4 linked regions of the Danio rerio genome follow. The protein of the gene in region 2 interacts with the protein of the main gene of each other region in a pairwise test. Links are inferred from orthologs where the notes say so. Each region holds a gene or a part of one and is shown on either strand. Other genes may lie near its edges.

Region 1 (4,742 bases), about 8.2 Mb from region 2:
TCTGGTCCAGACTGGATGCAGCTTTACGCTCAGAGATACGATGTGTGATGCTGTAGAGTGGTTTTCTGTATGAAGAGATGGAAATCTGCTCTGGAGAAGATCTGTGGACGTATGAGCATGACCTGCTTCCGTCATCTGAACTGCTGTCAAGGAGGTTTTCTCCGGCCTAAAAGTGAGTGTGAGATGTTGCTGTTAATAATTTGCACCAAACACAATGTCCGAGAACAGATTGCCTGTTTGTTAAAGGGGTGGTTCAGCCAAAAATGAAAATTCTGTCATCATATACTTATCCTCGTTTCAAACCTTTATGAGTTTCTTTCTTCTTTTGATCATAAAAGAAAATATTCTGAAATACACACTTAGCTGATAATTGATTATTAAAGTAAGTTTGGCATGCAGAAGAAAGCTCTGAGCTCATAGGATCCTCAAGCCTGGGGCTCTCTTCCGTTTGAGGGTGAGAGGGGAGTTTTAGCTTAGGTAGGTCTCGAGAAACCCCTTATTTAGGGCTAATAACAAATCAGGAATTGCTATATAGATATATACTGCTGCTTAAAAGCTCGACTGTAGTGACAATTTAGATAGGTCAATTAACTTATGATGCATGGCTTTGGACTGTGGGAGAAAACCGGAGAACCTGGGGGAAATCCACGTGAGCACAGGGGAACATGTAAACTCTGCACATAAATGTCAACTGGCCTGTTAAGGAATTGAGCCAGTGACGTTCTTGCTATGAGGCAACAGAGTTAACCACTGGACCATCATGCCACCCTATAAGGCAGGGGTCACCAAACTTGTTCCTGGAGGGCCGGTGTCCTCCAGATCTTAGCTCTAACTCTTATCAAACACATCTGAATAAGCTAATCAAGGTCTTACTAGGTATACTTGAAACATCCAGGCAGGTGTGTAAAAGCAAGTTGGAGCTAAACCCTGCAGGGACAACGGCCCTCCAGGACCGAGATTGGTGACCCCTGCTATAAGGAAAAGGAGGATGAGTAGGGGTGTGTTAGCTAATGGTGGAGCAGCCGTGATCAATCATAAGCACATGCTCCTATCGGAATTAATTTATAAATAAGCTTTACAAAGCTGGAAACCTGCAACCATTGACTTCCATAGTATTTGTTTTTCTTCTTATGGAAGTCAGTGGTTGCATGTTTTCAGCTTTATTCAGAATATCAAAAAAATTGTGTTCAACAGAAAGAAACTCGTAAAGGTTTGGAACCACTCAAGGGTGATTAAATAATTAGAAAATTTTAATTTTGGGTGAACTATCCTTTTAACGCATCATGACAACTTCTACCATATCAAATACTGTGCTAAACCTGCATAGGAATTAATGTTGTGATTTAACAAATGTACATTTTGTTTTAAAGATGCTTACCGGTGTTGTCACCTTGATCCTCTTCCCACTGTTTGGCCTTTCCACGTCAGAACCTGTAGATGCTCGTTTTGTAATGCTCTTAAAGAAACTCTCCATCTTTCCCTCTGTGTTTTCAATAACGTCCTCTGCATCTTTCTCGACTTTAACTTCTAGAGAAAAGCCCAAGTGTTTATAATTACTAAGAAATACTGATAAACATTATCTCACAAGTTTTAGCAGCTGTAATGAGGTGACAGGATCTGGCTTTGTTTAATCCTTTTCAGATTTACAGCTGGTAGTAACATGCATCTCTTTAAACTTGACTTTTTTTCGGTTTCCTGTCCTTTTGAAGTTCTTATATTAAAAGGAATAAGTGCCCTGGTAAACATTACAAACTTCTTTAAAAAATTAGAACTGTCCATTTTAATGTCATGCTGACTTTAATGTCAAAATCAACCAATATAGTTTTTTTATTCAATCATTCCTTAGCATGTAGTTCAAATGCATTAAAAATCAGCTATCTTTTTGTGTATTTTTGTATTTACACTCTCATTAAAGGGGCAGTTCATCCTTTACTCACCCTTTATTGTTCAATATTGACAAAAGCTAGGTTTCCATTGACTTCCATGATAGAAAAAAACAAATACTATGGTAGTCAATGGTTACAGTTTTATAGCTTTCTTCAAAATAACTTATTTTGTGTTCAACAGAATAATAAAACTTATAAAGGTTTGTATCCACTCGAGGTGAGTAAAAAGGGAGTAAAACTTCATTTTTGAGTGTCTACTTTATTTCATTTCATGTGATATTGTCACTAATAAACCCCTACCAGGTCCACTTCCAAATACAACATCTATATTTGATTTGATAAGGTAAATCAGTTGATTTGACAGGAAATTTCGATTTAGACTGGTTAATTTGATGTGATGCATGTTAGTACACAGAGAAAGCCTTGATGTTTAATGAAAGTTCTCACTGCATGAGCAAAGAAAATTTAGAATATTTTTACTGTGAGTCTTTACATACTTTTATCAGGCACCTGTCCATCTGCATTAACCATGCACAGAGAAGAGCTCATGTCCTGGGAAGAGACACACAAGACCCGTGATTGTTTAATATCTGACAGTCGGAATATCGGACTGTCACATTGTCAAGGTTTCTCTATAATTACTTGTTTTTTAAAGGATGCATTTGTCTTCTGAGTCAGTATTGCACATGACTGTCACAAATGTTAACTTATGAAAAGTGTGAGAAAATGAAGAAATATGTAAAAACTTTATTCTCGAACTGGTTTTTCTTCACGGTAGAGTTATGTGAGGTTGTTTTCCTATTTGTTTTCCATGTCTTGCACCGTGAAGTCTCGCCAGAGCACCGGAGAGGCGCTGCTTCACCGTACAGACCCCCGGCCACCGGCTCCACTTCCTCATTCTTCCAGTGGAAACCCCACGGATCGGTTCAACCGGGGAGTCAGTCGGACAAACAGCTCCCCGCTGCGCTCCTTACTTCATAAGTCTTTAGGAAAGAATGTGCTGCTGTTAATGTATTTGCAGTAATGCTGAGTCCTGTCCTTCTCTCTCGTGTCTCCCCTCCCTCCCCCGTGCGCAACTCTCCCTCTTGCGTGACGCGGCAAGAAAAACATCCACCGATGAGTTTTCGCTCCGTCTCTCGCCACACGGCGCGCATAAACTACCTGCGCGGTGGAAATCAAACTCACCTTTGCGACGCCGGGCAGCCCTGTGCAATAGGTTACGAGGCATCGGCCATAGTCGCGTATTTAAATCCAGTGGATTTGTCCACGGGTAACTGTTGTCCGTGTTTCTCTTCGCTGCTTTTTTCTCTAGTCAGTGCCCTCTCGCGTGACGTGACGGTACTGTGTCATTTCCGCACAGCTGTGGGTTTGCTGTGGGTTTTTGCCAGCCCACCCCACGTGAATCCCCGTGCTGCTGCGCCGTGGCCGTGAAATGCACGGAGTGCGCGCTGGTGTGGGACTTCTCGTGACCCAGTCATTTCGAGAGGCCCCTCGAGTCGCGCGCATGAGTTCCACGAGTATAAAATCACCAACGTCATAGACGCTTGTGACCAAACACATGCGGTGTATATAGCAGCATTTGTTTAAGAAAATCATGCTTTTGGTAAAAGTTATTACATCGAAAATTATTAAATGAACAGAGCTTGTAAATATACATAAAGCCTATTTAGCAAAATAACGACTGTATTATATTTCTGTTACTGTTTTTTTACTTTAAGTTTTGTTAATCTAAAACATCATTGATTTAAATGTTGTACAGTTAAATAAATGACGTACATTCTCAGTCAACATTGGAAATGTAAGCAACACCAAGAAAAGCAAACGTGGGTTTCCACGAACTGTCTGGCTGTACTTTGTTCTCACAAAAGGTTTTACAATAAATATTTGGGTTGTAAATATAGGCTAGTTGTTGTTTTTTTTAAAACATGTTCTATGGAAATAGCTTAAAGACCAAGTCTTTATATAGCCAAGCTAATTTGATTTGCTTGATTCACTAAATCCAACTTTTGGCCAAAAAATAAATGTATAAACTTTGATTTTAAATGTCTAAAATTAGGTTAGTAAAATTAGCCTACTGTAAATAAATACCTAAAATATATATTTTTTACATGTGTTTCTTTTCACCTTAACAGTTAAAGCCCAGAACTACTTTTAGCACGTTTTAACTTGTTCATAGTTTTACATTTTCTACATTTTGATAAAGTTAACTGTCGGTTAAATGCTGTTTACAGCCGGTCTACCACTTAACTGCCGTCTAGTGGATATGACAAGTACTGCAGGGCAAACGTGAATGTCCACCAAAACTGTATTAGACAGAAAGAAATACAGATAGATTAGATAGATAGATAGATAGATAGATAGATAGATAGATAGATAGATAGATAGATAGATAGATAGATAGATAGATAGATAGATAGATAGATAGATAGATAGATAGATAGATAGATAGATAGATAGATAGATAGATAGATAGATAGATAGATAGATAGATAGATGCAGCAAAACAATACACTCAAAAACAACTCTTACACTCAAACTAACTCTTTACAACATAACATTTAAAGATTATCTTTTGGCTGCATTGTCTGTTTCAAGACTAGCACAATATAATGCAACATCATGCACTATAAAAGCAAATAGGTGAAACAAATCCACTGCTTATATTCGTCCTCGCACGCAAACGCCCATCAGAAACTGTTCTCAGACACTCATCATCAGCTGCACCCGATGTGACCAATGTCCCGTAACGCGCATTAGTAATGTCTGCATTAGCGATGTCTGCATTAAGTCACGGAGCAGTGGCTCTTTGAGATGTGGGTGTGTTGAGGCGCCGGTCGGTCATTATTCAGGTAATGT
Region 2 (4,427 bases):
AATCTTTGTTTTATTCTGTAAAGGACTAATTTTAAACTAATTTTACATCTCTTTACCATTTTTTGTTATTGTTGTTAAGTCCTTTTAATTTCCTTTTTAAACGAAAATAATGAAAATCTCCCAAAAATACTAAAACTGCATTTTAGAGTAACAATAGTATACAAAAAAAGTATTTTTGTGCTTATTTAAAACACAAATGAATCTATGACATATTAAAAGACATAAACATTTTTTAACCCAACTCCAAAGGTTTAACCCACTTGTTACCAACACGTTTAATCAATTAAAATAATGTAAAATGTATTATTTATCACTTATTATTAGTGCAAGTCAAAATAAGTGTGTTGTTTATTTTTACATAAATACATCTGTTATACTGAATGACCATGGAACATATTTTCACCCATTTAAAAATGGGATTTTCACCCATCCCAAAAATACTAAAACTGCATTTTAGAGTAGCAATAATATACAAAAAAAGTATTTTTGTGCTTATTTAAAACACAAATGAATTAATGACATTAAAAGACATAAAAAATTTTTAACCCAACCCCAAAGGTTTAACCCACTTGTTACCAACACGTTTAATCAATTAAAATAATGTAAAATATATTATTTATCACTTATTATTAGTGCAAGTCAAAATAAGTGTGTTGTTTATTTTTACATAAATACATCTGTTATACTGAATGACCATGGAACATATTTTCACCCATTTAAAAATGGGATTTTCACCCATCCCAAAAATACTAAAACTGCATTTTAGAGTAGCAATAATATACAAAAAAAGTATTTTTGTGCTTATTTAAAACACAAATGAATTAATGACATTAAAAGACATAAAAAAAATTTAACCCAACCCCAAAGGTTTAACCCACTTGTTACCAACACGTTTAATCAATTAAAATAATGTAAAATATATTATTTATCACTTATTATTAGTGCAAGTCAAAATAAGTGTGTTGTTTATTTTTACATAAATACATCTGTTATACTGAATGACCATGGAACATATTTTCACCCATTTAAAAATGTAGATTTATTCTGTGATAAATGCAAGATGGAGTTAGCCACTTCCTTACATAGTTATACTCTGTGTTGATCCTATTCTAGGCTGAAATATTTAAAACTATCTAAAATTTTACACTGTGAAACAGTTTTCAACCCACTTTTGGTCATATTCGGAATTTCAGACAAAACTAGATCACTCCAGGATTCTCAAAAACAACTGTTGTCTTACAGCCTTATTGTGGCAAAGAAGCTAGTGGTAAGGTTTTGGAAATCAACACAATCCTCATCATTTAGATCTTGGCTGGAAGAATTACCTAAATTAGCATATTTGGAAATAATCAGATTTCTTATGGCAAAGAAATTGAAAACAAATTGACAATATTTGGTCTCCTCTTCTCCTCTATCTTGAAAGCGTAGGTTAAAAACCCACATGGTGAAGGTCACACCAACATTACTGCATAAGCTTTGGTCCCAGGGGTGGGGGGTTTAGAGGTTAAGCATTTTGTGTTTTTTGAAAAGTGTATTCTGGGTTTACAAATTATTTATTTATTTTTAAATAATTTTTTATTAATTATTTATTTTTGCAAAAAAAATAGAGATGTAATATTTACTGTAATGCTGTGCAATGCAATGCAATGAATATCTCAATAAAAACCTTTTAAAACAAACAAAAAAAATATATTAATATAATTTTATTTACAACATATATTTGAAACAAAATAGGTACTTTGCTTTCTCTGCATAAAAAATGACTTTTGTAATTTTATTAACACCAAATTGCAACTTTGTCTAATAGTTTGCTATATATATATAGTTGAAGTCAGAATTATTATCCCCTTTAGATTTTTTTCTTTTTTAATTTTTTCCAAATGATGTTTAACAGAGCAAGGAAATTTTCACAGTATATCTGATATTATTTTTTCTTCAGGAGTAAGTCTTATATTTTTTATTTCAGCTAGAATGAAAGCAGTTTTTAATTTTTAAGGTCAAAATTATTAACCCCTTTAAGCTATATGTTTTTTCGATAGTCTAACGAATATGTTGATAGATATAAAAATATCCAGTAAAGTATTATGTACTGTCATCATGGCAAAGATAAAATAAATCAGTTATTAGAAATTAGTTATTAAAGCGATAATATTTAGAAATGTGTTGAAAAATATCTCTCTGTTAAACAGAAATTGGGTAAAAAAATAAACGGGGCTAATAATTCAGAGGGGCTATAGTTCTGACTTCAACTGTGTGTGTGTGTGTGTGTGTGTGTATGTGTATATATATATATATATATATATATATATATATATATATATATATATATATATATATATATATATATATATATATATATATATATATATATATATGCGCATGTGTGTGTTTGTGTATCTGACAGTAATGTTTAATGTAAACTAATTCCATAATTTATAGCCTTTATGTGCATATGTGAAACCACGTGACAACCTGCTCTATTTATTAAAAATGATCATTCAAAAGCAATGCAAAGTGATTCAGAAATGTCTTGCCTTCCTTCCATTCTCCGGTATATTCTTCTCCACTGGAATAAGTGAAGGAGCCCCTGGTTAATGTCATACCTCCACCAAGCTGCACACAAAACAGATGAATATCAATAACGTTAGGTGGCAGAATTACACTAATGTAATAAGCAGATCATGAACAGAACATCACCTAAGCCCACACACAGTCGTATTGTGTACAGTGTAAAGCTCAGTCTAACAGAGTGAGCCCTGTGGTGGTTAATTTTAGCCGATACTGTATCATTTATAATGTAACGGTTCATTTACGCCGAACACGTTTAAACATTTACGGACTAAAAGAAAGCAGCGGCTGAGGTGACGTCATCCCACTTCTCAATTACAGCCTGTGAAAACCCGTTTCGCGTTATTTCACGCCAGCAAATGGAGATTTCATTTACCTGTTATGTTTATATGCGGTCTGAAGAGCATGAAACCCTTTCGCTTTGTCCAGCGGATCCGCAGATACAGAGAAAATTGGGTCCTGGCTCGCCGGTGTTTCAGTTCCTCTCGCTGAATCTCTCTGTCCTTAAAGATCTCGCGATGTTTTATGTTGTGCTTCTCTCAGCGAGCGCTGATTGGCTGATCAATGTCTACAAAAGAGCCACACTGGCAAGGGTAACGTGATACGGACTCTTCTCATTAGTGCTGTTTACAAAGGTAAGTAATGCTGTCACTGCTGCTGCCTATTTTAAGGTTTGCTATTTGAACTAACCTTTTTTTTTCATTCAAGGCAGTACAGTTAGACCACCTTAAACAACAAACACAATTACTGAAACAGTGACGGGAGTTTATTAGCCTTAATTTATATGTTGTAATTTATGTCTGTGTTTAGTACTGTTAACAACACGATACAATATTTTTGATAACAGTTTGATAAAGGAAATGTTTTACCACAAACATGTTTCTGTAGCTAAACCAAAAGTATGCATGACTTTGACACCATAGCTAACCATGGTATATGCAGTAAACTTGCGGTTATGGTAATAAATCTGCCAAAACATCATCATTACTACACTTGTACTATAATAAACCCATGGTTATGTTTTTCTAAAGTGGGCATTTAACTTATTTAACTCTTCCTAAATTAAATTGAGATGTCCTATTTTTAAGCTTGTATTAGTTTAGGTTTATTCTAATGTTCTGCGAATTGTTGCTACACTTTTATGTACATTAATTTTGATAAACAATTTGAGTAAGAAATTGTTATGGAAGTCCCATTTGCTAGCCATTAACACAGTCAACAGATTATTTACAATTACAGCATGCACTTTGTCTTTCAGCATTTTAATTATAGCATAATTTGGCCCATTTTGTAATATTTTATTAAGGAGGAATATTATACAGGTATTTTATTTTGTCTGAGCAACTTTATCCTCACTGTGAACAGTTTCTTAATCTACGTTTCATGAATTAGAAAAATAAATTGTGAGATCATATCTCTGTGCGGAACACTGGCTGCAGTCAGATTCTTTATGCAAATAAAATTCTCAATGGATTATTTCAATTAATAGCAGAAATATTATTCGGTAATAAAAACTTTTTTTTTGACATAAACCATTATTTTTTTTAACCCTAAATCTGATTAAATTACTAGTGTTCTTATATACAGGTGCAATCAGAATTGTTAACCCACCTGAATTATTTGCCCCCCTGTTTATTTTTTTCCCCAATTTCTGTTTAACAGAGAGCAGATTTTTCAAAACATTTCTAAACATAATAGTTTTGATAACTCATTTCTAATAACTGATTTCTTTTATCTTTGCCATGATGACCATAAATAATATTTGACTAGATAATTTTCAAGGCACTTCTATACAGCTTAAAGTGACATTTTAAAGGCTTAATTAGGGTAACTAGGTAGGTTAGGGTAATTAGGCAAGT
Region 3 (4,727 bases), on a different chromosome or scaffold from region 2:
GGCGTGCAAGTTTTGTGCACGAGCAGAGGAAATCGGCGCGCAAGCAAAAAGATCTGCATGCTTGTAGGCTATTACATAAATGCGATCTCGACTTCTAATACTGCGCTCACGACATTTGTCACTGAAATAACGCCACAGGAAGTTGGTAGGTCTGTGTAAAAAAAAGGCCTGCCTCCACAGCTGGAAAAAATCCTAGAGGAACCACTGCATATAGCATGTATTATTATCGCGTTAATGATCATTTTTCGATACATAGTGGCTGAGACGTTGTTAAAGTAAAAACAGTGTTCGTCTATAGGAAGAAAAAAAAAGTATAGCTTTTAAATTTGACATGACATGGCATCTTTCGTTTCCCAGAGATGGGTTGCGGCTGGAAGGGCATCCGCTTCATAAAAACGTGCTGGATAAGTTGGCGGTTCATTCCGCTGTGGCGACTCCAGATTAATAAAGGGACTAAGCCGAAATGAATGAATGAATGGCAACTTTCGATACAAAAAAGGAATTAAGTTAAATCTGCTGTATAAAAAAAAAACTTGTGCCACTTATTACAATCTGAGCAAGTATTATGAAGTTGCAAGTCAAAGCATGACAGAAAATCTGGCTTTGTTTTTATAATAAACGACATAAACAACAACTCAATATGATATATCTTCAAATCTCTTTGACTGAGCATCGTTACTTTAGTGCTAAACAATGTGTAATTTATTAGGATCGGAGCATGTTTCACAAAGTTACGAGTAGAAAAACCACAACAATAATTCATCAATAGTATGTACTTAACTATGTGTGTTTCTGTGCGGTCTTCATGATGAATATGGATTATGGTGAGCTTAAGCTTTAGTAATCGGGTAAATCTGCTATGAATAATGTTCGATTTTCCACGACTAGAGACAGTTTTGTGACGTTTACTTTCACATTGCGGTGAGTCCAGGCTCAATTACAAAAATCTGTTGTGAATACTGTATGATTTACCATGATCTGACAATGAAGTCACATCACATAAATGACATCTATATTACTGACATATGGGTCAGGGGGAACATCGCATACAAGCATTCGCTCAATTTTAGACAACACCCCAAACAAATATGCCTTTTTATATATCTAAATGATATATGACAAGACTTTCAGAGCTATATGGTGTTTTTCACATCACAGAATCATAAATTACGATTGCTTTGTTCTTGTTTGATAGCAACTAACTCAGCACTACACTGAAGTTAATCAAAATCACTACATGCATTATAGAAACCAAAATCTAAGCTTTCTAATGACACCTGTTTTGTGTTGATCGAGGCAGTAGTTTAGAGAAATTTATGAATCCAATTAATGTTATCAAGTTGATGGAGAGGAATCCCGCTGGAAGTACCCTCCTATTTTACCTCTTGTGGATGTGAATGGTTATATATATATATATATATATATATATATATATATATAATGTGTATAGTTGTTTCCCAGTACTGGGTTGCAGCTAAAAGGGCATTCACTTTGTAAAACATATGCTAAATATGTGGTGACCCCTCATGAATAAAGGGACTAACCCGAAGGAAAATAAATGAATTAAAGTTGCATTTAAAATATGCATTTATGTAGAAAAAAAAGAAAGAAAACATGCACAATATATATTAAAATATACAAAATACATGAATAAATAATCATTAAAACTTTTAATTAATAATAAAAAAAAAATAACTTATTGCTGACAAGAAAAAGTGGAAAAGTAAAAATGTTTAATTAGTATTTTTATGCTGAACTGTGATCCTTGTCCTAAATATACACTACCTGTAAAACGTTTGGGGTCAGTAGGATTTTTAAATGTTTTAAATCAAGCTTCTCCTGCTCACCAAGGCTGCATTTATTTGATCAAAAATACAGTACAAGTAGTAAAATTGTGAAATGTTATTGATAATCATACAGATAATGTTATTATCTGTTGCAGCCTGTAAAGACATCGGGGTAAAGTTGGTTTTATATTTGCACATTTGTTCATTTCTGAGCCAATTTTGACATGCTACTTTGAATATTCGATCTTAATTGTAGGTATGACTTTAAAAACAACATTGCCACTATTTATTTGACTGTGAAAATGTTTTACTTTGATCATCTTTGGCTGAAAAAAAAAACAATTTCCCTTTTTAGAATTTGCAAAAAAAAATAATTTTCTGATTCTGAAATAATATTATTAAAGAGAAACCCTTCTAAAAAAAAAAAAAACAGCTTCAACCAGTCTGCCTTGTTTTAGAGGGGGTTTTGACATTTCCAACCAGGTCTTAGCTGGCCAGGCCATATCCAACTTGACCAGCCTAGCCAAAACCAGCTATGTCCAGCTTAAACCAGTTCTTTAAGGTTGGCTTTGGCTGGTTATTTTTTAGCCTGATCAGCTAAGACCAGGCTAGAAACCAGACTGGAAATGGTCAAAACCCCTCTAAAACCAGGCTGGTCGACCAGCTAAAACCAGTCAACCAGCTTAGGCAGGTTTAGGCTGTTTCTTTTTCAGCAGGGAAGACATAATGTGCGAATATAAAGCCAACTTTACCTCAAATGTAAAGAATTGTTGTACACTTGTTGTTTTGTAATGCTCTGGTAATGTTGGAACAACGAATGAATTATCATCTGGTTTAAGATAAAGGTATAGTAGAAGAGTTATAGCATTCAAAGTCACATTACTGTTGACATTTCAAGCTGGAAAGAGCATAACGTACTATACAGCAATGCCTCTTATCTCAAACGCAGATGTTTCAAACTCACACACCCACTATAACGTGCGTTACAAGAAATAAACCTGAACAATAAACACTGCCTAGTGTAATAAAGGAACTACATAACGTTAAGCCTATTATTTATAAACCGAATCACATATACCCGCACTACACTTTCAATCATAAATAATGTGATTGTATGTAAACATTAGTCATATCTCTGATTATGCAGGTCTGTTTGAACGCTACGACATTATTACGTTAATAAATCTATCAACTCCAAACAGTTTCTCACATAACGCGAGTCGTTATAGTAAATAAACGGGCACGGAGGATGCTTAACCAGTAATTCAGACATAAACATCACTTACCCTCAGCTGTCTCCTCCGCCATCTTACTTCCGCTGACTAACCATAATCCCCCGCGCTTTACAATGACGCAATAGTGTCGACAGGGTTGTGTTAGCAGAGATGTTATTATTAAAAATGTCAAAATACAATTATAGTGGCAAAGGAGCTGAAGTTAATTGACTAGTAAAGTTATTGTCAATTAAATAGGTTAAAATAATATAATTGTAAAGATCTTTATGTTGAATTGTCTCGTTATTTATTTTATGTAATTTATTTTTTGTTTATTTTATGTTATTAGTTACATTTGTATTTTTTGGATGTCATGTTTAAAATGTATATTAGTTGTTGTTTAATAAAAAAAATAAATGAAAAAAAGCTGAGATGTTATTTGGAGGCTTTGAGATGTTAGATTATATAGCTATGAACAATACATTCAAGATTATTAGGATGAAAAAAATGTGCCGTTGACCCTAATTCATGATGTTTTTGTTTTTTATTCCACACAGTATCTTCAAGAAGGTGGATGGTCTCAAGTTTCTTTTGACTTGCAATTTTTCACCATCAAAATTACCAGTAAAATGATCTAAATTTCATGAGCAAGCACTCTCGGCTTGGAAACTTTGCTTTGTGTATAATTTTTTCTCCACACAGAATGAAAATTTGGAATAAGTTACTGTTAAAGAAAAGAGTTTATATTTGGAGAAATTGTTGGAAAATATTGGTACATGTAAGTGATATATTTAATTAATCTTTAAGGATTTATTCATATAAATCATTTTTATCTAAGTTCAATTTTCCTGTTAAATTTAAAGAATTTTCAACAGTGATCAAGATATCCCCTCGAGACTCCTTAATTTAATGGTACATGTACAGTCATTTGACCTATTATAAGATATAAAATAAAGAATGTAATTTCCTGATAAATCGTAAAAATATATTTGACAAAAATGTACTAACAAATACATTAGGCAAGTATTTGATGATAAAAATAGAGTTATTCCAAGAGGGAAATTTTATTGGAATTCGTTATTATGGGAGGTCAATTGGAGAAAAGCATGGCTGCTACCATACAAATTTTGCATTTAAAATAAAGTAAGAGAAATTAATTTAAAAATTTTACAATAAATATACCCAACCAACGTGTTACTTTCCAAATTTTTAGATATTGAGAAAGATCTTTTTCTGATTATTCTGCTAAAAATAATATGTTGATAACATTGAATGGAAAATAAATTATTTGTTATTTTGAAAAGGGTGATAAACTAATTAACAACTTGTTAATTTTATTATTTTTAATGGTAAATTCTTTATCCACAAATGTAGAATGTTCAAAAACTCCTCCTTTATACATAGTATTTTTCAACAAACTTATTCTGCTAATGAAGTCTCTTAAAGCTGTAAAAAAAAATGTAAAAGCTCTGTCTATCGTAAGCTAATATAAATCTGTTTTTGGTGTCTTCCTTTTGTTTTTTATTTTTATTTATTTATATAGAATTTCAATTATGCTGGATTTTTTGTTGCCTGTTTTTGCTGTGTTTGTAAAGTACAAATAAAAAAAGCAAGATGTTATTTTACTTTGAAATTAGCTAAAGCTATTTTGTTATGTTTTATATTGTATATAAATGACCATAAAATCACCCATTTAGTAACAGCACATACTGCCACCAGATGACAG
Region 4 (3,977 bases), on a different chromosome or scaffold from region 2:
GTGTGCTTTGGGATCTGTTTTGTTTTGTAGACCCCTTCAGGTAAAGAGGAATGTCTTGGATTTTCACAGGTCTCTGCAGATATCACCAAGAAAAAGATCAACGCTCTTTCCATGGAGCTCATCGAAGCTAAAAATAAACTGGATGCCAAAGACAAGGCGAGTAATCTCAGTCACTTTAGACATGTTGAAGAAGTGCGTGTGTGTGTTTTATGGTTCTCAGTGTAATCTTGGTCTTTGTTAAACAGGAGCTGAGCTTCCTACAGATAAGCTCGGAAGGAAAGGTAAAGGTCTTGGAAACTGATCTGGAGACTGCAAAAACAACGTTTCGAGTTCTGCAAGACCGGAATAAAGACCTTGGTGAGTCTCTTTGAGGAGCTGCTTGTATGATATTGTATATATGTAAATAAAACCACTATTTATAATATATCTGAAAATTGCTAACAGCAACTTTAAAAACAAATGATAATATTATATGATCTGATCACAATGCATTTTCATTTGAGATTTAAATGTAATGTTGAAAATACATTTTGTGCTCTCTCAGGACTCTAAATTTGGTCCCCTTATACTCAATCTATGTAGTTATTAATGCACACAGAAATTTAGCAAAAATAAGAGCTTTTCACAACATCCAGATTTATTATTTGTCTGACCTGAATTTTTCAGGCTTCTCCAAAAAACTGATACAGTGAGTCTCTCAGAAGTGTTCTCTGAAGACCCTGTCAGATGTATTTATTTTATTTATTGTTTGAAGTTGTTGGCTGTCAGTAGCAAAATGTTATTTTTGTCAGATGAACCAGGAACATTTGACTGTCTTTTTGTCAAATAGCTTAAAATATCAGTTATGTCTGATATCCAAAACTAGTCAACAGATTTTTGGCCTCAAACACAAAAGGAAAAAAAAAAAAGCCAGTGTACAAATTTTTTCAAACTTTTTTTTCAAAGGCTTGTCATGCTGAGCAAAAGGAAGCAGGAAATGAAGTTACTTATTTTGAACACCAATGTTCAAATGTATTATTTTTGGAATATTCGTGAAATTAAAAGGGTAGTTCACACCAAAAAAATGAAAGTTTACGCCTCATTTACTCTCCCAAAAGTATATCCAAAACCTTTCAGTTTTATTTTCTGTTAAACAAGAAACAAGATGTTTGGAAAAGAGCTGAAAAACTGTAACCATTGACTTTCATAGTATTTGTTTTTCCAACTATGGAAGTTGATGATTACAGGTTTCCAACTTTCTTCAAAATAAATTTTTTGGTGTTTAACCTAAAAAAACAACAGGTTTGGAACAAGTAAATGGTGACATCATTTTCATATTTGGGTTAAATATTCGTTTAATGCTTTTAATCATTAAAAATAAATAGCTTTTCAAGTAGTACAAGATATTTTTCGTTGAATTGTGTCTTTGTTGTTTTGAACAAGTTTTGATCATGAATGTTACATCAATAGCACTAAGAAATGTTACTTGAGCAGCAAATAGGGTAAATGCACAGCTAGTGTTTCTTCCCATACCGATAAACTTCTGGTGATCAGTTAATGTGACTTTATTTTATACAGTTCCTTTTGCAGCATCGATGCTGTGGTGAATCTAAAATATAATCAGTTAAATAGACTTTGGCATTGATTTAGTTGTAGAAGCGTAAACTGAGATGAAAATACTGGAGTAAAATTAATTTGAATATTTAAAAGACATGGTGCAGGAAAGTGTCCTTTAATGCAGTGCTTCTTGTACATTCTGAGACCCTTATCAGAGTTATATATCATTTAGGCAGTGAAGATTGTTGATTTTTAAAGAAAACGCACCTTAAACGTTACAGTTTTTTAATCACATACAGTTCACTGGAAGTGTTTGACCCAAGTTACTGACAAATTAAAAGTCCTTCTGCACATACCCTATTGGTTTAAGTTATGAGCATACTAATTTGAATTAATAAACTGAAAATATATTATTATTATTATTATATTTTAAATGTTAAGTTTTAAAATATACAGCCACTTTGGCCAAAAGATAAAGATAACTGAATATTAGATTTTTATATTGTTATTTCTGTTTGTTTAATTTGTAAAAAAAAAAATCACAGTAATGTTGGAGCAATACAGTGACATTTGATTTCTGATTTTCCAGTCAACTGGTTTTAAAAACATTTATTTATTGTTTTCAATGATTACTAATAAATGATTACTTTAAAGCATGTATAATTAATGATGACAATCTGACAATTTTTCTTATTACTAAAAATTTTTTCAGAGGACCTACATCAGGAAACAAGAGCCCAAAATGAGCTGCTTGAAAATGAAATGGACAAATTGCATAGTAAGTTTGCATGCTAGGACCTGTGTTTGTTTTATAATGTTATATTGTTTATATATTTATATTCTGCATCTTATATTGGTTTTTATAATATTACATTGCTTTTTTACTCCTTTTTTTACTTCTGCAAATGAAGACATAATCCAGGAACTGAGGGAGGAGATCAAAGCTCTGCAGAGTTACTTGGACTCAGCGAATGAAGAGATTCAGGTATTGGTTTTGGTCAACAGAATTTGACTCTCCTAAGCCAGTTGACATTTATTCACCCTTAAGTTGAATCATCAGTCTTTGAAGTGCTGCTTGGTTTGAGATAAGCTGTCTGTCTCACTCTCCAATGTCAAAGGATTTGCGGATTAAGCTCCAGGACAAATCCACCATGGAGCGCCGGGTGTCTGATGCTCAGGAAAACCTCAGGTTAGAGCTGCGTGCATTTTATTATTGTTGTTTTCATGGTATCAGTGTACACATCTTCATCCGTCTTTATTCGGCTCTGTGCAGTGAAGTGGAGCAGAAGTTGGAGAAATGTACCGCTGAGCTGCAGGAGTGTCAGGAGGCACTGAAAGTAAAGGAAGATGAGGTGCAGAGGTCTAAGCAGGAGCTGCGGGACTCCCAGAACGCCCTAGAAGAGAAGGAGAAAGAGATAGAGCAGCATGCGCAGGACCTGCAGGAATCTCAGAGCTCGCTAAAAGAGTTGGAGGAACGGATGAAGCAGGGGGATCGGGATCTTGAGGAATCCTGGAGCTTGGTAAGGCAGCAGGAGCAGGAGCTGGCCCGTGTAAAGGAAGTCTTGAGAAGGACTGAGGAAGAGCTGGATCAGCGTGTGGCACTCATGGGGGAACGGTGCTCGCTGCTGGAGGATGAAAGAGGTAAATTTATTAAAAAAAAAAAAAAATGTAAAAATCTTTATTTAAAGTCTAAAAAGTCTCATTTAATAATTGTGTTCTACTCTAGGTCCTCCTTTGTACCACTAATGGTACCTCTTAAACTGATTTAAAAGCTACCAAAGCATACTTTAAAATGTGTTGTGGTGTAGCTTTCTTTCACTAGTTCAAAATTAATCTGCCAGTATTGCAACTGTATAACTAGTATAACTACAAATAGAAGCAACATTGTGATACAGGTCTTAAATTTCCTTCACAGTGGCCTTCAGTTCTTAGTCTTAAATTTAATTTGGTGAGACCTGCAGAAACCTTGATTATGTAGATATTGTGTATTCTATTTGATTTGACGGGCTTGTTTATATGTGATTGTATGCAGCAAAGATGCAAGAGGAGGGTCTGCGACAGGTAGAGGAGCTCAAGGCAGAACTCTGCTCGTTGGAGGAGAGCAGAAAGACTGAGACGGAGGCATACGAAAAGCTGAAGGAGGAGCACTGTGCAGTAACCAAACAACTGGAGGAGGAAAAGGTAATCAAGAGAACAGATATTTAGGTGAAGTTTACACTTGTACTAAAGGGATTGTTCACTGAAACATGAACATTAGCTGGTAATTAACCTGGCCTGAAGAGCCGCTTTATAGAAGAAACTGAAATATAATGTTTATTACTGGAATTCTTGCATTAAAGTATCCATAGAGTGCATTGATTTAATGTATGAAATTGTTCTTTGATATTTACATAGTAGGTATGTGGCTTATGTAGGTAAAAAATCTTCGGAAATGTATTTAT

Evidence for each region.
Region 1: the proteins of morn4 (region 2) and bend3 interact in binary tests that used the Homo sapiens proteins (3 or more experiments, as listed by UniProt). The two-hybrid records come from large-scale screens. The link is inferred for Danio rerio from reciprocal best matches to the Homo sapiens genes MORN4 and BEND3.
Region 3: the proteins of morn4 (region 2) and ranbp3a interact in a two-hybrid assay, tested with the Homo sapiens proteins (2 studies listed by BioGRID). The two-hybrid records come from large-scale screens. The link is inferred for Danio rerio from reciprocal best matches to the Homo sapiens genes MORN4 and RANBP3.
Region 4: the proteins of morn4 (region 2) and hmmr interact in binary tests that used the Homo sapiens proteins (3 or more experiments, as listed by UniProt). The two-hybrid records come from large-scale screens. The link is inferred for Danio rerio from reciprocal best matches to the Homo sapiens genes MORN4 and HMMR.

Annotation. Positions count from the first base shown.
Region 1 is NC_133188.1:36,077,787-36,082,528, forward strand, and holds the start of bend3 (BEN domain-containing protein 3), read right to left. Parts: upstream 3,235-4,742; 5' UTR 3,072-3,234; exon of another isoform or gene 2,529-3,071; intron 2,439-2,528; 5' UTR 2,436-2,438; coding exon 2,384-2,435; intron 1,528-2,383; coding exon 1,379-1,527; intron 167-1,378; coding exon 1-166. UniProt on the Homo sapiens protein: Transcriptional repressor which associates with the NoRC (nucleolar remodeling complex) complex and plays a key role in repressing rDNA transcription.
Region 2 is NC_133188.1:44,273,018-44,277,444, forward strand, and holds the start of morn4 (MORN repeat-containing protein 4), read right to left. Parts: upstream 3,065-4,427; 5' UTR 2,945-3,064; intron 2,614-2,944; 5' UTR 2,602-2,613; coding exon 2,535-2,601; intron 1-2,534. UniProt on the Homo sapiens protein: Plays a role in promoting axonal degeneration following neuronal injury by toxic insult or trauma.
Region 3 is NC_133186.1:6,421,845-6,426,571, reverse strand, and holds the start of ranbp3a (ran-binding protein 3a), read right to left. Parts: upstream 3,112-4,727; 5' UTR 3,096-3,111; coding exon of another isoform or gene 3,074-3,095; intron 1-3,073. UniProt on the Homo sapiens protein: Acts as a cofactor for XPO1/CRM1-mediated nuclear export, perhaps as export complex scaffolding protein. Bound to XPO1/CRM1, stabilizes the XPO1/CRM1-cargo interaction. In the absence of Ran-bound GTP prevents binding of XPO1/CRM1 to the nuclear pore complex.
Region 4 is NC_133189.1:32,875,872-32,879,848, forward strand, and holds part of hmmr (hyaluronan mediated motility receptor), read left to right. Parts: intron 1-69; coding exon 70-156; intron 157-245; coding exon 246-357; intron 358-2,248; coding exon 2,249-2,314; intron 2,315-2,447; coding exon 2,448-2,521; intron 2,522-2,654; coding exon 2,655-2,725; intron 2,726-2,809; coding exon 2,810-3,177; intron 3,178-3,568; coding exon 3,569-3,717; intron 3,718-3,977. UniProt on the Homo sapiens protein: Receptor for hyaluronic acid (HA). Involved in cell motility. When hyaluronan binds to HMMR, the phosphorylation of a number of proteins, including PTK2/FAK1 occurs.